Linked DNA regions of Struthio camelus. The protein of the gene in region 2 purifies or fractionates together with the protein of the main gene of each other region. This does not show direct contact. Links are inferred from orthologs where the notes say so. Each region holds a gene or a part of one and is shown on either strand. Other genes may lie near its edges.

Evidence for each region. Proteins that work in one complex are often made in the same cells at the same time.
Region 1: the proteins of CEBPA (region 2) and MRTO4 purify together in Homo sapiens (affinity purification with mass spectrometry; 3 studies listed by BioGRID and IntAct, with this or other methods). This does not show direct contact. The link is inferred for Struthio camelus from reciprocal best matches to the Homo sapiens genes CEBPA and MRTO4.

Annotation. Positions count from the first base shown.
Region 1 is NC_090962.1:12,996,752-13,004,148, reverse strand, and holds the start of MRTO4 (mRNA turnover protein 4 homolog), read left to right. Parts: upstream 1-4,294; 5' UTR 4,295-4,409; coding exon 4,410-4,437; intron 4,438-4,524; coding exon 4,525-4,583; intron 4,584-4,675; coding exon 4,676-4,779; intron 4,780-4,863; coding exon 4,864-4,945; intron 4,946-5,302; coding exon 5,303-5,370; intron 5,371-6,039; coding exon 6,040-6,191; intron 6,192-6,663; coding exon 6,664-6,740; intron 6,741-7,397. Other genes in the region: EMC1 (ER membrane protein complex subunit 1), read right to left, coding at 271-342, 938-1,105, 1,341-1,493, 1,858-1,984, 2,529-2,657, 3,099-3,192, 3,361-3,426, 3,697-3,821 and 1 more. UniProt on the Homo sapiens protein: Component of the ribosome assembly machinery. Nuclear paralog of the ribosomal protein P0, it binds pre-60S subunits at an early stage of assembly in the nucleolus, and is replaced by P0 in cytoplasmic pre-60S subunits and mature 80S ribosomes.
Region 2 is NC_090951.1:12,257,237-12,264,312, forward strand, and holds CEBPA (CCAAT/enhancer-binding protein alpha), read left to right. Parts: upstream 1-4,436; 5' UTR 4,437-4,568; coding exon 4,569-5,543; 3' UTR 5,544-6,504; downstream 6,505-7,076. UniProt on the Homo sapiens protein: Transcription factor that coordinates proliferation arrest and the differentiation of myeloid progenitors, adipocytes, hepatocytes, and cells of the lung and the placenta.

The DNA.
Region 1 (7,397 bases), on a different chromosome or scaffold from region 2:
ATGGCTTGCATACAAGCAGATTACACAAGCCTAAAACAGGCTACATACAGAACAGCACGTTTCACAAAGTTAGAAGTAGCTTTAGCTGGATGTGATCAAGGTCTGCTTGCCTTGTCTTCATATGTCTGAGAAACTAATTAAATCTTACTCTTTTTGAAATTACTAAACATCCCCGGGCCTGTGAAGGAAAACTCTTGCGGAATCCGACTCCAGTGCATGTCCCTATTACAGAACCGCGCTGGTCACATAGTACAAGCAAATTGTATTCACCAGTTCACTCCGGCAGGTGAGGACAGCAGCCACAGTTTTCTCCCCAGTCGTTGCAAAGCTCACCAGAGCTGCCTGAAAAAAATTTAATAGGAAAGCATAAAGCCAACAAAAACAACAAAAAAACTACCTGCGCAGGAAAGTATGCCCTGATGAAGTTAACAACATTTGATCCCCTACAGCCAAATTTCAAATTTCATCGTCTCACCAAAGATGAAATTACACCTCTTAAAAGACCAAAAACAGTTCTGTCAAAGAAGTAAATGGTTGACCTGCACAAGCTTTTGAACCACAACCTCTAGTATTACTGAGCTTTTTAAAGCTTTTTCACCTTTCAAAACTTCTCAGCTGGCCTAACAAGAGTACTACTATGCCACTGGTCTCTTAGAAATGCATGTCTCTGTCCAGCTCAAACCTAGATTTCCCCCCACGCTAACAGTTGTTAGCCACAAAGCATGCCTAAACTGATGTCTGAAACTATTTTAACAGCTAATATAAATGAAATCAAATGGTTCTCAAATGTTGCAGCAGAAAGCACAATTGAAATGGGAAACTCGGCAGCTTGTTCACCATGCTTAATATAAGGGAAGGTTTCTGTTTGTTTCTAAAATCTTAAGCTGTCGTCAGCCCTCCCAGTTAAGAGTTCTGCAGCTGCATCTATCTTGGTTACCTGCTGGAAGTCCCGAAGGTGGCTGAGCAGCCCGTGCCTGTATTGCAGCAGGGAGAAGTGGCTCGGAGACAGCTGCAGGAAAAACTGGGTCCGCGAAGCACTGACGAGATTGGGTTGAGTGGCCAATATCCTGGGTTGGAAGCCATCAGCAAACTCCAGGTCAAGCGACTGAGAAAGGGAGATCAGCGTATGCGTTCAACAAAACTTTTTCTCTGGTGAACCCAGTACCTTCCTTTTATAGCCAGCAATGCATGCTTTATAAAGACGCTGCCCATATGAGGATAAACATGGAACAGAAGCAAGGAGGCCTGGACTAACACTGGAGCAAAGCTCTGGGGACAATCCATTGGGCATGCTTAGTTGGGCAATTAGTTACTTACGATGCTCTGTTAGCACTGCTCACCTGCAGTGGGATCTGCTTCATCTCCTGCTCCGTCTCCAAGGAGCAAACATAGAGCGAGTGCGCGTCCATGTCCACGCACACCAGCACTGCCTCCCCGACCACGCCGCACGCTCCATTTAAGCTCTTCAGCCACGGGGCTGCTATTCTGATCTGCTGAGCAAGAGACACGCGAAGTTGTCAACAGCAGAAAAAACTTTGAAGAACCAACACGGCTGTGACCAAGATATTTAAGTCAGAAGTATTTTTACCCATGACCCTGGGATAAACTGTCTATTAGCCTGAGGTTTCCAGGATAGTCTTGACTCTGCCAGATGCAAGTCTGACTAACTTTTGCTTTCGGGGCATTCAGCAGTGGAAATCTATTTCTTGACCCAAAGGTAATGCCACAGGGAAAGGAAAGTTTAGTCTCCGCTACAACAACAACAAATTACTCTGCACATCACACCACAGCCATCTAGTACCATCAAAGTCAAGCTGGCAACAAATCCAACGTTTTGAATCCATGCTCAAGGACTACCTGTTTTGTAATTTCTCCATCCTCTACGCTGAAGGTCAGAACATTCAAGTGGCTCTGAGGAACAATTCCAAGTACGTGGATCACTCCAGTCCCGCGGGAATACAATAGCTGGTACTGAGTACTCTCACTGCAAGAGAAGCAGCTGCTGTAAAGTAACGGTCTTCAATCGCCACTCAAAATCACACTTACATTACTCTATCATGGGTCTTGCGAGGAAAGACTGACTCAACTTCTAACTTGCTTGTTCCAGAAGAAACATTCTGCCTATCAACACAAACGCTTTATGGACATCTCACCTTCAGTCACTGCTTTCTGCAGTGAAAAACGTGAAGATGATAGAGACATAACAGGTGGGGAATTCCTCCACCCTTCTCTTACAGTCTCCCCAATATTCCTTTCTATACAATTAAACACAAAATAGTTTCTGGTTTCAGACAGGAGGACCTCTTTCATTTCTTTGGAAAGAGCACTCCATTGGCAATGCTCATAAAACACGTGAAGTCCTCTCTCTCTTAATTCTGTCTTACCCTTTCAGAAAGTAACTGCTAACTTTATTTGTCTTAGTACCAAACTAGTTTTCCTAAGTAAAAGAGAAGCACAGCATCCCCTCCTCCTCAAGAAATTGGGTTCCATGTCTGCAACCGAAGCTTCTGCTTACACTATTTTCTTACCTTTCTGGTAGATGCTCTACCCATTTCTGGTGCCCATTGGACAGGTAGTGAAGAGAGACAGCTGCCTTCTTCAGGACTGCCACATATTTCACTGTGTCCTGTAGCCCCACCAAACTAGCCATCTGGAAACTAAGCACAGGTCAGAGGCAGCAGCTTAGAAAATGATGTTTATGAAGAACTCACCCTGTTTAAAGACCTTCTTCAAACATTCAACAGCAAACTTAAACTATAATTTAAATATATAGTCCACTTTACCTATCCTTAGCGATTTGAACAGAGAGGAGAAGGCTGGAATGCAAACACCTCAAATCAAAGTGGTACCTTCCATGTTTAATATGTTGTACGCTGGGGGAGAAAACCTACCTATGAAAGGATTTGTATCTCTTCCTCCTACCTGGTTGCCAAGGGGTGGAAACAGCATTAGGCCTGACAGCAAGCTGCAGGGATTCCTATAGTATTCATCCATGTTTATTTTAGAAACGTCACACCTAACTAACGTTTCCCTAGAATACAACTTCTCCTTCCTACACCAGCACACTGCAAAGGGAAAGAGACAGTCCAAACACTCACCTGCCGGTGTCCAGTGAGGTCTCCCAGTTCAACCCACCAATGTTGGTCTCCCACGAGCGGAGAATGCGCCCACCATTGGACACAGTGATGGCATCTGCACAGAAAACGATCAGAAGGACATAAATACAGGACTTGTATCCACCACAAATCAGTGAGGCATTTAGCTTTGGCAAGCCTAACGGTTACTCCGACAACTCGTGGCTGGGATCCCACACGCAAGGACAGTTACTAACCCCAGCGTGCCATGTAACGTTCTTCTTACCCTGTCCGTGGATCAGCATCGCATCTATTGCTCCTTCGGGAGTTCCCTTATCTACATGGCGCCACACTGAAGGAACAAAGAGTTACGTAAGAAACAGATTCGCTCCCCCAAATGCTTTTATTTGTTATTAGGTTTAAACCTGAGTTTTCTGCAGCAAAAAGCTCCTGCAGCCCATGCATCTGTCTGTCCTAAGGGATAAGCTTTTGAGCTGCAAGCTGATAAAGCAGTCTGAGCAATATTAATTTATCAGTATGAAAATGAAGTGCTAGGCCCACTACAATCAGCAGATGCCCCAGGAGAAAAGCCTGTTGGGCCCTAAGGCCCCACTTCACTCACGGATTTCGCCGTTCCTGGAGTTCAGCGCAGCCACGACGTTCTTCTCGGTGGCCACAATGAGCTTCTTTGAGCCCTGCGAGGCCTCCAGGGAGGCGAACTTGAGCTTGCCCACATACTGCTGCCTCCTGGGGGAGGGAAGGAGGGGTGAGAAGGCATCGCAGGGAGCCTCACCCGGGGCAGCGGGCAGGGGAAGCCGCCACGGGGAGGCTAACAGCAGGACGGAGCACTGGGCAAGTACGGAGACGGGGAAAATCCCGGGAGAAAGGGACCCCTCTCTCCCCCCCGTACGCACACACCGGGAACGCGGCCTGCCGTACCGGACCGGCGCCGCAGACAGGGCAGGCCGGACCGCGCCGCCGGCCCCACGCAGCCGGCAAGCCCGGCCCCCTGGGCTCCCCCCCCGGCCTCGGCCCGCACCCACCAGTCGAACTTGCCCACTTGGTCCTCGTAAACGGCGGTCACCAACGGCGACAACTGCAGCAGCAGCAGCAGCACCGCCGCCGCCGCCATGACAGCGGCCCGCCGCGATCCCGGCGCGCCCCGCGGCGGCCGCAGGGGGCCTGGCGCCGCCGGGGCCGCCCGCGCCGCCGCCTGAGCGGAGAAGCGGCCGGCTCAGGCGCGGCGGCGGGCAGCCCGCGGGCGTTCCCAGCTGCCCCCGCGGCGCGGCGCGCAGGGGCGGAAGGGGGGGGGCCTGGCGGCGCGGCGCGGCGGCCATGCCGAAGTCCAAGCGGGACCGCAAGGGTGAGCGCCCCCCTCCTTCCCCCGCTCCTCGCCGCCGGCGCCTCCGCCGCCGCCTCTAACGCGCCCTCTCTGCTCCGCTCTCCGCAGTGTCCCTGACGCGGACGCCCAGGAAGGGGCTGGAGGCCAAGCAGGCCCTCATCGCCGAGGTGAGTGCGCGGCCGCGGCCTGCCCCCCCACGCGCCCCCCCCCCCGGCCGGGCCGGGCCGGGCCGGTCTCACGGCTCCCTCCCGCCTCGCAGCTGCGGCAATGCGTGGACACCTACAAGCACCTCTTCCTCTTCTCCGTGGCCAACATGCGCAACAACAAGCTGAAGGACGTGAGGAACGCGTGGAAGCACAGCAGGTGAGCGGGGCCCGGGCCCGGGCCGAGCGCGGCCCTCCGTCCGCCGCCGCCCGTGCTGAGGTGCTTCTCCGTTTGCCGCCTCAGGATTTTCTTCGGGAAAAACAAAGTGATGATGGTGGCGCTGGGACGGGAACCGGCCAGCGAGTACAAGGAGAACTTGCACAAGGTACGTGGCGGAAGGCTAAAGCGTTTCGGTGTCTGAATCATCTCGCCCGCACCGGCTGCGTCGCCAGCAGCTTGCCAAAACGGTCGCTTTTATCGTCGGGGGATAAACTTAAATCAAGACAGAGCTTTTTCAGAACACCTTTCTGTGTATGTTTTGTCCTTGACTTAGTGCATCAGTATGAAACAGTACCCAAGAAGAAGATGTCGGGGTTGATTATTAGTAGAATTGATTGCACAGACTTCTGTGTTATTGCGGACTTTCGTAGCTGCGCTGCACCAAACTCCAGAAAACGACGAGGGCCCGGATGCTGCCTGTAAGGTGTACTGTTGAATCCCATGGGTGGCTTATTTCTTCCAGGTCAGCAAACATCTGAGAGGTGAAGTCGGTCTCCTGTTCACGAATCGCACCAAAGATGAGGTGAACGAGTAAGTACGCGTGCGACCGGCAGCTGTGATACCAAAGTGCGGAAAAGGCCTTTTTTTTTTTTTCCTTCACTGGCTACTGGTGGTGGTGGCGGCAAACCTGCCGCTGCGCTTACCGCTGCTCTTAAAACCATCGTGTTCTCATGGGGTTTTTCCCCTTGTTTTGCTCTGGCATCGTAACGTTGAAGGCTACAGCAGGGAAAAAAAGCTGCGGTGGGCTACGCTGCGATTAAAAAGAGTGCAGAAGGGCAGTCCGTTTCACGTGGCTCTCATAACGCAAAAGCTGTGCGCACGAGAACAGGGAATGCTAACAGCTGAACTGAGCAGTAGGTGAGGATAGCTGGGGTGATTACGTATATGCACCTCCTGCCTGTAAGTGGAGCTGATGGGGCTCTTTGTTCGTGTTTCTTCTGTTTGAATTTAACTCATAATCTATAATTTTCTTGTGTACCTACCTACCCTCTGGAATTCCGTTACGGATTTCTGTTCGTCTGCTTTACATCTAAAGTTCTTTGGACGTTTGCAACAACGGAGGGTTCCGCAAAGCCCACAGTTAAATGCAGTCTTGCAATTTGCTGCCTGATGAAGAGATCAGCCAGGAACGATCTCAGTCTCAGGCCAAGGGATGTTCCTTACGCAGCTAATGCTCTTGTTACCTGTCCCTTATCTCAGCTGGTTCTCCCAGTTCAAAGAGGTGGACTTTGCCCGTGCGGGGAACAAGGCAACATACACAGTGAGCCTGGACACAGGGCCCTTGGAGCAGTTTCCCCACTCCATGGAGCCTCAGCTACGGCAGCTGGGGTTGCCAACGGCTCTAAAGAAAGGTAGGTGAACTTAATTCCCCTTCTGCCACTTAAATTTTACTTTACGAACTTTTGCTGCAAGTTGCTAAAGGTTGCTGCCATCTTAGTAAGGTCTGTGCAGACAAGGTCTTTTAAGGAGAAGGTTAAATAGTAAGGCAGGATTGAAGGACAGCGGTTGAGAAAGTCTTGGTCCTGGCTTTGCATCCATAATGGCTGAAGTGGGTATTTGGAAGTATTTGGAAGCCTATTTCAAGAACTGATGCTTGGTACTAACTCATACATCTGCCATGGTTATGCTCCTGTCTGTTCTAAACGCTGTCAGGTCAGAAGGTTGTCTTTTGGTTAAAGCTGGCTTGTCAGCTGCCACGGGCTTCATGTAGGATGGTGAACCAGGACTGGCAGGAAGTTCTGATGAATCCAACAGCCCCGAGCTGTTTTCCTCACGGGGTTCCCTCTCTCCGAGACCCAGCTCCTCTCCCTTTTGTTCCTGCAGGAGTGGTGACGCTACTTTCAGACTATGAAGTCTGCAAAGAAGGGGACGTTCTGACCCCTGAACAAGCTCGTGTCCTGGTGAGTAATGCTTTAACACGGCATCTAGTAGCAAACTAGTAGCTCCCCTGCATCTTTCCAGATACACAACTATTGTTAACCGTTGGGTTTAATTCTCCTGGAGGGTATGAGTTCTCAGACAAACGTGAACAGCGCTTCTCGATATGAATCAGTAGGACGCAGCTAGTGTTCTTGTGTGTTCTTAACGTGCATGCTGGAACTCTGCTTTGGCTCTAAGGCAATAGTACTGAAGACCGGGGTTTTAACACCCAGTCTGAAGAGCTGGTAATCCAAAATGCACTGGAGGCCAAGTTGGCCATTAAGCAGTTACTACTTCAATATTTCTTAAACGCTAACAATCAGCAACATGAGAAACCCTCTACTAACTCGTGCCTACTAGAGAAAGTGACTGTTCTGCACAATATTTCCTGACACTAACTTAGGTACTACCTGTAGGGGAAGCTTTTGACACCAGCTGTGAAAGCAGAACAGTATTTAATTGGAATAGACCTATATTCATCTCTGAACTCTAGCCCCAAGCGGCTGCATTCAGATGTTCTGTAGTTTTAAATCTAACACTTGCTTTGCTTCTTGCTTTGCTGCAGTCCCCACGTGGAAGAGTTACTTAGGGTAGGTATTTTAGTTAGGCTTGCCGCAGAGACAGCAGAGCAGGAATGA
Region 2 (7,076 bases):
GAACTGTGTATGTAATGGCTCATTAAGCATGTAAAAAAATTGGGGACAGGTAAACCACTTACAGTTTCACAGCCTGATTGTACATGATTACAGGTGACAAACTGGAAACAGGTTGAGTTATGATCCCTACTGTGAAAGGAGGTGGGTGAGCAGTAGTCAGGCAGTGTCAGGAAGTGAAAAGATGCTCCCGGTCAACTAGTGTGGTAATTGCAAGTGACTGAGCTCTCAGGAGAGGAGCCAGGAGTGAGTAGAGCACAAGGACAGCACGTGTTGAGGACATGGCCACAGAGACCCTGAAGACAAGGGGAATGATAAGAAAAGGGAAGAGGAGTATAGCATAATTTATGTTTTTTCACCCTGGAGCTGTAAACATTGTTTCTCCAAATGAGAAAAGCCGTAATGATAAGTAATTCAGTCATCTGTCATTGGACAAACTTTGCACATCAGAAATGCTAATGAGTCACCAGTTGCCTTTCCCAGCTGAAGGGAAGGTCCTCTTTACTTGTCATACCATGCTGCATCCTGATCTACTGGCTTCCAAGGGGATTGGCTTTGGCACATAAAGCCTTTTCATTTGAAAATTGTCATGGTGTGGCAGCTTTTACATGTGCAGTATCATGTTTCCCCTCCCTGGGGCACAGGAGAGGGGAGAAGTGGGTGTTTTATTACAACACAAGAAGTAAGATGGTGGGCTGCTAGCTCTTTATTCACCCAGAAGACTACTGCTCCATGCCTGCCTGCTCCCATGGTACGCTTAGGGCACCGCGCTGTCCCCAGCTGAGGATATTGCCCCCCCCCCCCCCGTCATTCCCAGGGCAGCAGTACTCCTCTTCCTGCTCCACAGTGCCCATCCCTGCCCCTGGCCAACTCTGTCTCCTTTCCTCTCACCCCCTCCACAGGTGGGAGAGAGGAGGCGCTGGACTGTGCTGGCATTCACAGCTAGGAGAGCTTTGCCTGCAGACAGGGCATTCTGGAGCTTTGTCAAAAGCAATGAAATATTCTAATTTAACAAGGCAGTAAAGTAATTGTATAATGGCACTCTGCTTCCTAACTGAGGTGCTGCATGCCATGTCCGAACTATACTTCCAGGGCCTTGGACCAAAAGCAGAGTCCTGTAACGCCCGCTCGGCGTCTAAAGCCAGCCTGGATGTTGTAGCTGTACACACGAGGGAACCCCTTTTGCAGCCCACAGGAGTCGAAGGCCTGAGAACAGGACAGGAGCTGAGTCTAGGAGAAGTGAATGAGAATTCAATGCTCAGATGCCATTAAAAACCCCAGCAGTCACGAAATTCACTTGTATAAAGCAAATATATTTGCATTCCTTCATGATTATGACTTTCTTTTCAGTTTCCTTCCCTACTAACAGCAACCAGTACAACTAACTTGGTATAAATGACTTTTAGTGCTGTTCAGAAGTTTGGAGCAGCTTTTCTAATCCTTCTCTAGCTTATAGCTACTAGAGGCAACCTCTACTTTGAGATGGAAGAATAGCACCCTCAAGAGTTGACAGCAGTGCTGCTTCAGGGATCCATAATATGCAACAGACATCCTTCCTCTTTTAGCTGAATTAACTCCCGGACACATTGAAGTGAAGCAACAAGACAGAAATTTTTTCTTGATGTTAGATCTGAAATATTTGGTATCCATCTCTGTTAATGTGAATGTGGAAATAGGCATTTGTCTGAGAGATTATCAGCTTGTAAACGTTTTAGTTGCCGTTGAGGGAGGGACAAAAAAAGAATAAGAATGCTCTTATTTGTCGGAGTCTGGGAGTCTCATTTTAGACCGTATTAAAACAATTTGAACAGGAATTTATGTTTTCGTGCAGAAAGAGATTATTTAAAAGTTCTTAACTTAGATAAAAGGGGTCTGTGTAAAAAAGACTGAGCAAACCAGTCCTTAAGTTGTGGGGACTTGTTCGTTAATTACAGTAATTAGGAATGGAATCTGATCCTGAACTTTCTGATTTACTTTGAATGTTTTTTAATGTGTGCCTAGGCCTTAATTTCAAAATGATTATAAAATGTGAGAGTGTTTTAAGGCTACAGAGGCGTAGGTATTGTTATTAAGTGACAAACAGTTATATACTTCTGCTGTATTGCACAGCACTGATCTTTTATATTAAACGTGCACGGCCCCCTCCTGTTTCTGCTGACTTCAGAGTTAGATAAGGCCTTCGGAGTAAAACCGAACCTCCAGCTGGTGTTCCAGAAGAGAGCGTGTCCCAGTAGGCAAAATGTCAAGGGCTGGATTTGTCCCTTTTCTATGAATGGGATTGCTTGAGTGGAACAAGCAGAATTCAGACAGTCAGATGCAGTTGGGAGATTTTACTGTAGACTCTGAAGCATCCAAAGCTTGTTTCTGTCACAGGCTTGAGGGTTCTCTTCTGTAGCATGACCTTGTTCAGAGTTATTACTGGTATTTTGATTGTGCTACAGCTCCAAATCGACCAGTGAAATACCCCTTTCAGGAACCGCTTAAGTGCTGAAACCAACACGTACAATTTTAGAAAATATTGACCATGTATAAAAAGAATTTATGCTTGATTTTTTTCTACTGCTATTGAAAAGTGAAAGGTATATTCTGTAGTCTGTAAATTTACATTTTTCCCTGCTGTAGGTACAGACTCGATTCTCCTGATAGGATACTAGAATGCAACAAGGCTATCTGAATCTACGGGCCCTGCTTTTTGCTCATGAAACAGGTTCATATGTGTGATATGCAGTACAAAAAAAGGGTTCATTGAACACTGTAGTTTTGTTTCCTGTTTAAGACTTTGTCCCATACTATTAATTGCAAGGAATGTTTCAAACCCTTTCTGAGCAAGCAATTTACTGTGTCACAAGTTTCTGGTTTACTAGGACATCCAGGACGAAGAATTACAACCCTTCCCCCACCCCCTCACCCCAGCCATCACTATGTTGGAATCGTTTCCTCTGCAGATCTTGCTCTGGCAAATTTAGGCTGCACCTGGTCCAGTGGCTTTGGCATGTCCTTTCTCTTGTGCCAGTTTCAAAGCGAGCTTCTGGACCAGCAGTAGCTGAATGCCTGGGTGGCTTCCTGAGGTGCACCTGGAAGACAAGCAAAGGGCCAGAGAGGGAAAACAAATAGATCGGTCCGCTCTGCAGACTGCCAGGGATAGCAACAAGAGGAAATTCTGTGCATCCTTACCCCTCCCGAGCTGAAGCGTGAAACTCGGACTCTTAGGAAGTCCGTGGAGCTGCTGCAGGAACATACTGCGCTACCCTAGGAGAGAGGTCACGGTAGCTGAGAGGTGCAGGTCGTGTCTGCAGTCGGCGGTGCGGGAACATTGCTTTGCCCCAAGCAGCCAGGAAGCGGAGGCTGGGAAGGCAAACAGTGTCTCCAAGGAGGCTAGGGCTGCAGGGCCGGGCGCACGGCAGGCCGCCTGGCTGCTGTGCCGCTGCACGGCGCGGGGAGCCGGGGCCCAGCTGCACCCGGCTTCGTCTCGGGTTCGCGCCGGCAGCCGGCCCGCGCCCGTCGCGGGTCTGCGGAAACCTGCAGTCACATTTACCTGCTGGGTTCGGGCGGGGGGCGCGGCGAGGGGGGAAGGCACCCACGCGTTCATCCCTCGCCGCGGGGCGCCGGGCCGGGCCCCCCCCCGCGGCGCGGCGGCAGCCCCGGCCGCCCGAGCGGCGCCCCGCAGGTGCCCGCGAAGGGCTCTTCCGCGGCCGAGGCGGGCGGCTCTCGGGCCAAAGCAAACGCGCCAGCAGGCGGGCAGCCGGCCGGCTGCGGAGCGGGCTGCCCGGGGCGCGGGGGCGCTCACCGCCGCCCGGCCGACCGCCCCGCCGGGGAAGCCGGGGCGCCGCGGGATGCGGCGCAGCCTGCCCCGAGCCCGCCCGGCAACAGGGCGCTCTGGGCAGGTAACGCCCGCCGGCGAAACCCCGCCGTCGGTGCCCTGGGCAAACACGGCCGGGCTCCTGCTCCAGACTGGCCAAATATTTGCCAGTAAGCGCGGGGGGTGGTGAACTTTGAGACTTTCTCCGCAGCTAAGCCGGGGATTTGCCGGCTCGGGGAGCGCGGCGCAGGGCTGGCAGCGGGCGGTGCAAACGTCCCGGCCGCCTTGGGCCGCGCCGCCCCGCCGAGCGGCGCCGGGGAGCGCGGGCGCGCAGCGGCCCGGCCAGCGCGGAGCGGCGGCGGCGGGGGCGGCGGGGGCCGCGGAGGGGCCGGGCGGCGCTGCCAGGGCGCTAAGACCCGGCTGCGCGGCGGTCAAAGGTTCCCAGCAGGAGGTTGGACACTAGAGGGCGATCCCCGGCCCTGCTGCGGGCGTGTATATATAGGGCACGCAGGACCGCGGCAACCCACTAGCAACGGGGCAGGCAGGCAGCGAGCGGGGCTCGGGCGGGCTGGGGCGGGGGACGGGCTCCGGGCGAGCGGAGCCGGGCCGGGCCGAGCCGAGCCGGGCCGGGCCGGGCCCGCCGCCGCCGTGCCGCTCGCCGCCGGGGGGCCGCGGGGCGCCGCGGGCTTGGCAGAGCCGCCGCCGCCGCCGCCCCGTCCGAAACCTGGATTGCAGGAGCCCTTCACCATGCCCGGCGCGCTGTAGGTGCTTCATGGAGCAAGCCAACTTCTACGAGGTGGACTCGCGGCCCCCGATGAGCAGCGGCCAGCACCACCAGCTCCAGACTCCCCTGCCCGGCAGCGCCTACAGCTACAGAGAGGCTCCCTCGGCGGCGGCACCTGCTGCGGGCGGCGCGGAGCTCGGCGACATCTGCGAGAACGAGAACTCCATCGACATCAGCGCCTACATCGACCCGGCCGCCTTCAACGACGAGTTCCTGGCCGACCTCTTCCAGCACAGCAAGCAGCAGGAGAAAACCAAGGCCATCCTGGCTGGGGATTTCGACTTCCACAGCATGCATGGGGCCGGCGCCGCCTCCTCGGCGCCGGGGCACCAGCCGCAGCACCACCAGCAGCCGCTCTTCGGCTGCGTGGCCGGCTACCTGGACGGCAAGCTGGACCCGCTCTACGAGCGCATCGCGGCGCCGGGCTTGCGGCCGCTGGTGATTAAGCAGGAGCCCCGCGAGGAGGAGGAGGTCAAGTCGGCGGCCCTGTCGGCCCTCTACCCCCACCACGCCGCGCAGCAGCACCCGTCGCACCTGCAGTACCAGATCGCGCACTGCGCGCAGACCACCATGCACCTCCAGCCCGGGCACCCCACGCCGCCCCCCACGCCCGTGCCCAGCCCGCACCACCCGCACCACCCGCACCCCCCGGGCGGCCTGCCCGCCGGCGCCCTCAAGATGCTGCCCGCCGACCACCGCAGCAAATCGAAAAAGACAGTGGACAAGAACAGCAACGAGTACCGGGTGCGCCGGGAGCGCAACAACATCGCGGTGCGCAAGAGCCGCGACAAGGCCAAGCAGCGCAACGTGGAGACGCAGCAGAAGGTGCTGGAGCTCACCACCGACAACGAGCGGCTGCGCAAGCGGGTGGAGCAGCTCACCCGCGAGCTGGAGACTCTGCGGGGCATCTTCCGGCAGCTGCCCGAGAGCTCCCTGGTCAAGGCCATGGGCAGCTGCGCCTAGCGCCCGCCGGCACGGACTCGGGGCGCGCCGCGCCCGCCGCTCACCCGCCCTTACCTATCTCTATGACTTACATCGGAGCGCAGCGACCTGAGATTGTTTCACGGGGGGTTGTGTTTTTTTTTTCTTCTTCTTCTTCTTCTTTTTTTTTTTTTTTGGTTTGGAACAATTAACGACCAATAAAAGAAGCCAGGCAGCTGTAGTAGTATTAAAAGGTTTGTGCCTTAGGGACGACACACGAATAAGCTGAAGAACATGGTGGGTTTTATAAGGAGAAAGGCGAAGGGAAGGGAGAAAAAAAACCCCACGTGTCTACACAGGGTAAAAATAATAATAATAAAGCACACAGAGCAACCCACGTTGTGCCTTAAAAGCTGGCTGCAGGAGCTCTGGGGCTTTCTGCTCCCCGCAGCCTGGCAGGGCCTGAGGGAGAAGGGCGAGGGACGTGCGGGCAGGCGGGGGTCCCGGCTGGGGCAGGCTGGGGCCTCCCCGCGCGGCCGGCCTGCAGGCGAGGGCGCGTTGCGGGGCGCCCAGCGAGAAGGGCTAACCAAGGCTGAGAGGAGCTGGGCGCCGTGGTTCGGAGCACCGAGGCGTGGGAGAGCTGCCGGACTGCTAGCCGGACTGTCCCCGCCAGGCTCTGCGCCTTTCGGGGAGCCCCCTGGGCGCCCAGGACTGCGAGGGAGCACGGTGACCTCCTTCCCCCGAAACGAGGAGCAGCAGCGTCTTGTACTGTATGTCACGGCATGGCGAAGCACAAATGAATAAATACCTATCGATGCGGGTATTTACTAGGAACTTTCAGTGTATTTTGCTTTATTCCAGGACATGGAGCTCCTCGGTCTGCCCAAGCTGTGCCTCATGTAATGTGAAAGCCTTTCCGTGTATACTAGCTACACTTTATTTTTATTGCATTACTTAGCTCTGTGCCATCACACGACTTCCTTATCTGGTGACAGAGACTATGCCCTTGTGCTGCAACGTTATTTTATGATGTGTGTGGGTGGGTGTGAGCGCGCGTGTGGCCTTCCCGGCGAGGGCCGGGGCGGCGGGCCGGGGGGACCGGGGGGCCGGGGCGGCGGGCCGGGGGGGCCGGCGGCGGGCCGGGGGGCCGGGGCGGCGGGCCGGGGCGGGGGGCCGGGGCGGGGGGCCGGGGCGGGGGGCCGGCGGCCGCCGCGCAGCAGGCCCCGCGCGGCGCCCGGCACCTTTGGACTCTGGAGCTTCCCCCGGGCGGGGAGAGAGAGAGGAAAATAAACGGCGGAGCGCGTCCCCCGGCAGCCGGCGAGGGCTTTCCTCCCGGGGCGGCCGCGGCCCGAGCCGGGTCGGAACAGGCGTCGGGGGAGAGGAGCGCAGGGCGCCCGGGGCGCGTGTGCGAAGCGTGCGTGGGGCGTGTGCGTGGGCTCGGGGTATGCCTATGTATATGTATATGCACACACATTGGTGGGGTGGGGTGTTTTTTTGTTTGTTTGTTTGTTTTGAATTCGTGGGGAGGGAGGGGGGGACACCCCGCATATAAAGTTTGTCCAAGTCCTGGTTACA